Linked DNA regions of Caenorhabditis elegans. The protein of the gene in region 1 purifies or fractionates together with the protein of each later gene. This does not show direct contact. Each region holds a gene or a part of one and is shown on either strand. Other genes may lie near its edges. The genes, in order: T03F1.11 and sur-5.

Region 1 (3,076 bases):
GTGGCGGTGATGAGATGTCCCGCAATGATGATCCAGTTGTTACTTCGAACGGTTCCAGTACTGATGTCAATCGTGGAAGCCGAATCACAAGTGAACTAAAGAAGAAAGAAAGCAATGCAGTCAGAGGACAGCCACGTGGATCCTGCTCTCCAACCAACAACGACGTTTCGGCGCCCGGATACGCCTCACGTTCTCACCCGACCACCGACCCAAGCCATTCCGTAAGACGAAGTTCGCGAATTCGACGAGTACCGGACAGATATGGTTCATCTGTGGAGCACCCTTCAACCTCCACCGGAACTCCGCGAGGATCGACATCCACACAGCTCGGTCAAGCCTCCACTCGCAACGGAAGTCGATATACAGCTTCTGGTCGAAACCCCTCTTCCCAAGGGAATCGCTATTCGTCAATAAGGGGGGAAGGTGTTACGGCGAGACGTGAACGTGTTCGCACTACTTGGCGATAACAACTCGACAATAAGAAGCACGTGAACTCTCGAACTCTCTTATTATTATTTCACGTATTATCCACATGTACATTCCTTGATCGATCCATCATATTCGATCATTCCTCACTATTCTATCATCCTCTTCTGCTTTCTAATAAAGCTTCTTCTATTCTTATTACAAATTGAATATATAACACTTATCTTTTCGTGTACATATATTTTTACAAAAATACAACACTAATAACCAATTGATCCCCTCTCCTTGTCTCTTTTGTCAGGATTTCTGTCTATTCGGGACGGGATATACGCGCGAGTGTTTCCAAACAAATAAATAGAGGACGTTTTTCGTGGAATGCTCCTCAAGTTTCGGGTCGAGTGGCGAGAGATGGACTGTCTAGAGATCAAGAGAAAGACGATTTTTTAAACAGTTACACTGATAATCATTAGAAATATCACGTTTGGATCGAAAAAATTATAATTAACATGTCGCGATTTCCTCTTCTAAAGTTTTCAAATAATCCAAAACACATAAGATTTTGTGATTCATGACTTTTTCTGCTCTCGACACGACTGAAACATAGGTAATTAGGGAGGCTGCGAAAAAGTGTGCGCCTTTAAGATGTATAGTAGTGCAATTTTCTTAAAGATGCCCTTAAAGACGCATACTTTTTTGTAGCATCTAAAATTTAAAATTTCTGTCGCGTCGAGACCTGTTAGGCGCCGAATTTGTCTAACGGCTAAAAGCGATATTTCAGAAGACTGATGAATGATTTTTTAGAAACTTTAAATTTCTGTGCAAAAATCCCTGCCAACATGGTGTTCTACGCATTTCTTTCATACGCCAAAAAACCAAAGTTCACGACAAATTGCACAAAATAGGCGGTAGGCAGGCTGGCAGGCATAATGTTGGCGGCAACTACTATATTGCGGGAACGAAAATTCTTCAGAGGGTTCTGAGAATGCGTATTGAGCAGAATATCTCGTAACGAAAACTACAGTAATTCTTTAAATGACTATTGTATCGCTGGTGTCGATTGACGGGCTCCATTTTGACATAAATCAAAAAATTATAAAAAAAATGCCCGTAAATCGACACAAGTGCTACAGTAGTCATTTAAAGAGGTACTGTAGTTTTCGCTACGAGATATTTCGCGCGTCAAATATGTTGCTCAATACGCTCTCTCATAGATTAGTGTTCCCGTAATAATAAAATTCGAGTGACATCACACCTTTCGAAAATAAGTTTTCAGGAGATCAAACAAGATCACGATCGGGAAGTTGAAAAAAAAAAATTAAAAATGATTAATTCTGCTGAAAATCAAACCTCCATGATTCCAATTTTTCTTCGGCCTGAATTCAGGAATTCCCAATTTCTCAAAAAAAAAAGTGTCCTGTTTTCATTTGCTAATCGTCAATGTTTGACACTTACAAACAACGACTTTCGAAAATTCAAATTAGTAAAACAAACAATCAATTGACAAAACATTCTCTCTCTTTTCTTTTTCTCTGAGATGCTTTTCCATTTATTTACCCACTCGGCACCTCCTACCCGCCTCCAACGGTTTTCGAGTGAAGCTCAGTCTTGAACTTTCCGTCATGGCTACTTGGGGTGAGCTTTATCTTTTTTTTTGTTGCCAAATTCTATAAATTTTCTAATTATTTCCAGAACATGAACTCCGTGAGATGTTTTCTCTCCACGACAAGGATATGTCTGGATTCATCAGCAAAGATGATGTGATCTGCATGTTGTTGGGAGCTGAGAAGGACGATAAGAAGGATCCCGTGTTCAAGACGAACCTCAAATTTTTGATTCAAGTCATCAAGGAGGCCGACAAAGACGGAGACTCCAAAATCACTTTCGATGAGTTCAAGGAGTACATCAACAAAGTCACTTCCTAAAATTCTTTCAATTTCTTAATGTTTTATCTTTCCAAAATTTATAACAAATCTAAACAATCTCAACAATAAACAATCTATAATATAACAAAATTATGAACAATTAAAATTCTTGAGCGACCACGTGTTGTCCGCCGAGTCAATTGTCGGAGCCGGTGCAAAGATGGGTACAGGAGGTGGAAGAGCATTGGGTTCTTTTGATAAATCTTCCAGATTATGCAGCTTGTTCGTGTAGTCATAGAGGAATAAGCCCGGATATCTGAAATGAAAAATTATTGAATTTCAACTAAAAAGAATCAGAATCTTCAATTCAATTTTTAATTAGTTGGTATTGTGAAATATACTATTTTTAAAGATATTAAAGGCATTTTTATTTCAAGAAATTTCTAATTTGCAGTTCTTGAAAATGTATCGTTAAATATCTTCGAAATCATTCTCGATGTTTAAAACTTTTATTAGATGCAAATCGTGTGCGCCTTTAAAGAGTACTGTAGTTTCAAACTTTTGTTGCTCCGTTTTATTTTGCATTAAACAAAAATATGTCGTGTCAAGACCTGATACCGTACTTTTTCGGCGAAAAATACCAAAATGTGACGTTTGTGTAGTATTGAAAGAAGGTCTGTGTTTTGGTGTTTGATGCTCGAAATCGAATAATCTGTCTATTTGTCGAAACTTTCCCGGCCACGAGAGATCAATTCGCACTGATTTCTTCAAAATTGTTTCACTCACGA
Region 2 (6,676 bases), on another chromosome or scaffold:
ATAGATGGAATGTAGAAGAAAAGTTATGAGGATTTGGTTGGCATACGAATGGTGATGGGCTTCTGCTGGTCGCCTAACCTTTTTATTATGTCTTGCCGCACCAACGCTTATTGAAACACACAAAGATGGACGAAGGGGACAAACCAAGGATGTTACTTGTGATTTTGAAAATCAAGTTTGTTGAAAAGGAGCTCAAAAGTAAACACTCCTTATTCAGAAATTTAGCTTTACCGATTTTCTATGCATTTATTTATCCTAGGTACTTATTTTATCCATGCATTTTTATCTTTGCAAAACTTTAAAAACAATTTTGCAAATGTTAACTATCTCAAAATCACATTAAAATGAAATGTGTAATGAATTACAAGACAACTGAATCTGTTTCAAGCAATTGTTTTCCAATTTGTGTGTTATGTAACATAAAGTGTTCCAAAAGCAAACATAGAATTTTAGAGTCAGAAATGTCCACATTTTACATGGGAACAAACTCTTCTAATTTTATACATTTTAGGCTCGTACCTTTACAATACTTTCTTTTGAAATTTTGAAAATATTTCCTACTATTTCAATGACGGTCTTCATTTTAACGTTTTTGAGGACATGCCCAAAATATCATCTAGTGCAAAATGTTTATTCCTTAATGATAATGAAACCATTAAATTTTCTTCCTCTTTCAAAGTATTTCACAGGGATTTATTTTTTGATGACGACGGAACAGTGAAATCAGAGTTATTTCGTTGGGGAGTGAGAGAGAAACCGGTGCAAATAAAGAAAACCTGGGTGCTAACATAAGGGGAAATATGAATGAATTAACACAAAGTTTTAAATTAGATTTGAAGGTGAGAATGTAAAGGACCACAAAGCTCAAAAATTGATGTTGATGATGACATGAATGAGAAAAACAGGTTCAGGCAATGAGCAAGAAGGAAAGCGTGAATATATAATTTTCAGAAACAGAAACAAATAAACCGTTGAAATAAAATTAAAGATTAAAGTCTGTATTGAACGAAATGATCAAGAGATTCTGGATTGCGAATCGAAGACGCTTTCTGGACGGCCTTTCCACTCACAATTTGCTTAACGGCAACTTCCACTTTCTTTCCGCTTGAAGTATACTGAAAAAACAAAGTTTTTACAAATATCTCAATCGTAAATAGCTACCGGAATATCATCAACTGCGTAAATTTTGTTTGGAACATGTCGCGGGGACATGTCGTTCCGGAGTTTAGAAACAATGGCTGCCTGGATACTGTGTGTGAGCTCTTGACCCGGAACCATTTTCACAAACAGCAAAACTTCCTCGTCCATGCCCTCTTCGCTGGAAAAAAAATGTTCTTATGTTTGTTCTGCCATACTAGAGAATAAAAAATATAAGTTAATTTATCAACGACCTGTTTATTTCTATTTGCAGAATAGAGAAAAGTAATTAAAACTAGCTTAATATAAAGAAGAGAATGAGTAAGTGACATACCTATTAGCAAAATAAAAACTCTAAATATGCATAATGATCAACTTACACAAGTCTTCCAGCTACAATGCAATCAGCAATATGTGGAATTTTTTCAACAACCGAATAAATCTCAGCTGTTCCAATTCGAACTCCGCCGCGATTCAATGTAGCATCACTTCTTCCGAGCATTTCTACACCGCCCGTAGAATGATTCACTCTCACAAAATCACCATGAGCCCAAAATGGTTCTAGGCGAGCAAAGTAGGCATCACGGTACTTCTTGCCATCCGTGTCATTCAAGAAATGTGATGGCATTGAGGGGAATGGGGTGACACACACTAACTCTCCTTGTTCGTCAGAGTTAATGATTTCTTCATCTGCAATTCGGATACTTTTTGGAGAAAAAAGTTGATCTATCTTTCTTCGCAACTTTTCGAAAAATGTTGAAAACTACTTTGAAAGTTATTTATAAACATTATAAAGTATGTATATTTGTTTGCAACACTGCTGTTGTTCGCCTGGGATATGGGCCTGTAATCCCTATTGTCATATGGACCTATTATTCTTATAAAGATCGAACACCTATTCAATCGCCAGGGTTCTGTGCAAAATTTTTAAAAAAAGTGGGCATTAAGAAGTTGCCGCGCTCGGCAATTTTTTCAATTTTTTGCACGTCTTACCGATTTCGGCATTTTTTTTTGATTTTGGAAAATACGATGGAAATACAATTATGCTATTTATTATTCATGGTTTTATTTTTAGAGTTTCAAGAATTTTTGAGATACATCGCAATTTGCCGAGGTCTGCCAATATTGAAAATTTTTCCAGTACCACTTTTTTCATCCCCAGTATTAAATGGTACAATTCTCGACATAACGTTCTAGCTTTTTCCGAATTGTTTTATACATTTCATTTTGCACGTACCCATGTAATTGAATGACTTAATATCCATTCCCAGGAACAAACACTGACACTCTCCTGGCGTGATTGACAATGACTTGATACCACCGACAAAGCATCCAATAATGTCAGTTCCTCCAGAAATCGACGCGATGAGAGCCTATAAAAAAACTTTGTGTTATATTTGGTTGCAAAAGAACAAGATAAGAACATACGCCTGGCGCAATATAAGTGTTGATATAAGCGAAGCACTCTTTCTTCAATGGCGAACCTGTCGAGTAGACTGTGTGTATTTTGGAAAGGTCGTACAATGTGTCTGAAAGTCGTTGATCATATTAACGGTGTTGAATGGAGGAAAATTATATGTATATACTTACTGAATGGAATTTGAAGTCGGAGGTATTCATCATAAAGCTTCGCACCCATTCCAATCATAGTCGATTGTGTCTTTGCAGCGATTTTCATGATAATATGGGTGTCAGGAGCCAATGGGCATTCATCGAATAATACAACAGATCCTTTGGAGTATAGGAACGAGATCATCCTGAAATGTTAAAAATTAAAGTTATATATTTTTGAAATTGTGAATAAGTACAATCTTAGCAATTTGCCGAAAACTCGTGATCAATTTCAGCAGCGCCAATCAAAAAAGTTGCAAAAGTGAACAAAGTTAAAGATGGAACATCCAAGCATTTGCACTAAGAACTACCAAAGGTTACTGAACGGTTGCAAAGTTGCGGCGAATTGCCAAAATGTTTTATTTCTTGAAAGCAACCTGTGAATATTTATTCGGAAATTATTTTTGTCTCTAGAAAAAATCAATATTTTAAAGCTTATCCAACAGTTCATTATTACATAAATACAAAAAAACATTTCAGGGGACAGTTTCTACGGTGTTCTAATATTATTTAAATTGTATTTTCTTGCTGATTAAAATACAATTTTAATTAAAACAAAATCTCACCAATTATACATCATCCATCCACATGTAGTGTAGAAAAACATACGATCGTGTTTCTTTGAATCTCCTTGCACCAAATGCTCCTCAATGTGCTTGAGCAAGGTTCCTCCGACCGTGTGAACCATTGCCTTTGGAATTCCCGTGGTTCCTGAGCTAAACATTACGAAGAGTGGATCGGAAAATGGTACCTAAAAATCCACATGCTTTGAATGTTTCAAATCTTAATCATACTGGAGTATATACAAATGGCAACACAACATCGGCAATGGGAGTCTTGAATTCTTCGAGTGATGAGAACTTGTCACTTTGATTGTACTTTGTTGCATCGAATTTTACAGATGTGAAGGTGTCGGATACAACGATTTTCTCGAGAGTTGGGAGCTCTGGAAGTTATACCATTGTTTTAAATTCTTATTTGACAAAAGTAACCAACCTTTTACAATTTCATTAATTTTATCGGTCTGATCAATGAGCTTCTTCTTGTAAGTCACATGATTCACTGTGAACAAAACCTTGGGGTGAACTTGTCTGAATCTGTCAAGAACACCAGCAGGTCCAAAATCAACAGACGCTGAGCACCAGGCAGCTCCGACAGCGGCTGTGGCAAAAACAGCCACCAGTGTGTCATATGTGTTTGGAACAAAGCCGCAAACAGTGTCTCCGGGTCCGATTCCATAGTTACGAAGAGATGTGGCAATGCGATAAACATCTTTGCGCAAGTTGTCGTAAGTATATTCTGTCACTGTTTCTTCGATACCTTGAATTTTGTTTGATAAATAAACGTTTGGAACATGAAACACTTACTGGCATTCAATACAGCAATATCGGTGGCGGTTCCTCTTTCGATGACATTTTCAGTATAGTTGAGAGTAGCACCATTGAACCATCTCGGTCTCTCGTTGATTTTCAAATTATGATCGATAACCTAAAAATACTTTGTTTGTTTCCGAGCTGTTACACATAAAAAATTAATGTTCCAGGAAGTGGAAACAAGTTTCCCAATACCATACCTGGTTGTAGTTTTGATGAAGCTTCACATCGGACAATTTGAGCAAATCCTCCCAGAAAATACCATAATTATCACAAGTGAATCGGTGAAATTCACGGTAGTCAGCTTAAAAATGTGGATGTTATGAATATTTTGCATTTTTCAAAATCTAGTTGCTCACAGTTTCAGTTAAATATTAAATAGCAGTTATTTGAGGTCGATTTTTCAAATTAATCAAGAGTTAAAATTGAAACCTATGATTTACTAAATAAAAAATTACCAAATTTCTTATTTGTTTTCTCTTCAAAATGATTTCTGAGTGACAATTCAAAAGTTTCCAAATTTTGTGGCGGCTTGTAATAAACTGGCTGAAGTTTCTGAACATGGCTTATTTCATTTCCATTCATTGATCCATTCGTCGTTCCATTTGTCGTTCCATTGGTGTGAGCACCATTTTCGTGCTTTTCGGTAGTTTTTCCGTTTGCAGACACTGCGGTCATTCTGAAAACAAAATGTAAAGTTCAAAGGTTTATCCACAGAAAAAAGCAACACGAAAAAAATCGAAAGGACACAAAACTAGCGATATCACCACTTCTAGGCGTATTTTTGTGAGGTTTATCACACGCTTATCATTATTTGCCAGGCCATTAACTGTGGTGTGATTGCCTACAATCACCAGATATTCAAAACCTTTTCAGTGAAGTTGTAGGAAAAATGAGAGACGAACATCATTGACTAGTGAGCACAACACATTGATCACTGTTCTATGCAAAACAATTAGCAAACGGTTCGTAGAAGGGGACTGCAATTTGGTTTAGTGTAAAACGTTCTACGTATCAACGTGATAAGAACAGTTGAGATATCTCTTGTTATCAGTGAAAATTTGGGACATCGGGACAAAGTAGGTACACAACAATTCGGAGACAAAATTTTCAATGTCAAATGTTGCGTGAGAGATCTCTAATCAAAGAAGATAACATGGCGCTGTAGGACACCGGTGTAATAAAATTGCAAGCCCGCACGTGTTGGATTAAGTTGATTTGATTTTGATTTAACGGCCGGCAAAAAAAGTGTGAAAGATTAAAAAATTATGACGTTTCATTTTTGTTACATCATGCACTTTGCGAATGGAATATGAAAAGAATATATGCGGCGTGACAAAATAGTTTGAAGAAAAACCTATATTATCCTTTTTAACATTACTCTAAAAAGTCTACTGTAAAAGTAGCCATTGACACGTTAGATTCAAAGTTTAGATAATTTCAGACGATAAAAACATGTTTTTGTTGCGTCTTCAATTTCAATTGCCCCCATCTCAATTCCGATACTATTTCAAGTTTTTTTTTTATTTCGATCGTTATACTGTTTTCCAATTGAAGAACAGCGCTCTTTAAAAAAAATAAATGCGCAAAAAAAGAAGAGAAAATAAAAAAGAAATTGAAACTTTGCAAAAAACTTTTAAAACAGATAGAGACAAAGATAGACCGAGACACAGGCATTGAAAGAAATACACAGAGAGCCGACGAGGGACTACACTCTCCACTGCAACGTATGTTTACCGCCTGCGCGTCCGTCGGTCAGCACAGTCTCTGGCCTCCACACTGCACACGTCCACTGAAAAGTGAGATCAACACAAGGGACAAGGAGAAAAAAGGTTTTTTCTATATTTTTCTTTTCCAATAGTCTGCGTTTGTGTGTGTGTTTCGTTGAAAAGGAGCGATGGATAGAAGAAGAGCGTGCCATCACGGAATGGCCTTTGCATTTTCCGATAGCTATTGTTTGATGGTCAAAATGATTTCCAACATTTACAGTTTAAATGTGTAGTTTATAGTTTTTATGAGTGGTTTTATTTCTGGTAAAACTGAAAAAACTTACTAGGGAATGACCAGAATAAGTGGAGCGATATTCAAAAAAAAAATATTGTATCGGAAAGCTGACATTCTCTACTATAAGAATATGACTGAAATTTTGGCCCATTCGGGCTGGAAATCTGAAATTTTTACGTCTGAAATTCTACGTTAACTCTTTTCACTATCCCCAATTAGTACTGCCTGCAACAGCGAGATGGCCGAGTGGATAGAGTGGATGACAAGCATGGTGGGACTCTGGGGTTCAATTCCACCCTAACGTAAAATTTTTCAAAAATTTAAACGTGTTTTTTCGAAACTATATAAAAGCCCAAATTTAATTTTTCTGATCGATATCAGCATGATCAATGTGTCGACCAACACCATAATGATTCATTCAACATCTTTTCCCCTAAAATTTAAACTTTTTTCTCAAAATTGTAACTACAACCATGGATCCCCTCATATAAACAATTTCCATTCAGATTTCCAGCCCGAATGGGCAAAAATTTCAGTCATATTCTTATAGT

What was found.
Region 2: the proteins of T03F1.11 (region 1) and sur-5 fractionate together in Caenorhabditis elegans (co-fractionation; one large-scale study listed by BioGRID). This does not show direct contact.

Annotation. Positions count from the first base shown.
Region 1 is NC_003279.8:3,851,808-3,854,883, forward strand, and holds T03F1.11 (EF-hand domain-containing protein), read left to right. Parts: upstream 1-2,002; 5' UTR 2,003-2,045; coding exon 2,046-2,058; intron 2,059-2,115; coding exon 2,116-2,348; 3' UTR 2,349-2,426; downstream 2,427-3,076. Other genes in the region: tfbm-1 (Dimethyladenosine transferase 1, mitochondrial), read right to left, coding at 2,439-2,604.
Region 2 is NC_003284.9:7,300,771-7,307,446, forward strand, and holds sur-5 (Acetoacetyl-CoA synthetase), read right to left. Parts: upstream 4,801-6,676; 5' UTR 4,800-4,800; coding exon 4,580-4,799; intron 4,426-4,579; coding exon 4,322-4,425; intron 4,237-4,321; coding exon 4,116-4,236; intron 4,069-4,115; coding exon 3,745-4,068; intron 3,695-3,744; coding exon 3,543-3,694; intron 3,500-3,542; coding exon 3,315-3,499; intron 2,895-3,314; coding exon 2,728-2,894; intron 2,667-2,727; coding exon 2,566-2,666; intron 2,511-2,565; coding exon 2,375-2,510; intron 1,828-2,374; coding exon 1,518-1,827; intron 1,319-1,517; coding exon 1,162-1,318; intron 1,116-1,161; coding exon 990-1,115; 3' UTR 619-989; downstream 1-618. UniProt on the Caenorhabditis elegans protein: Activates acetoacetate to acetoacetyl-CoA. Negatively regulates let-60 Ras activity during vulval induction.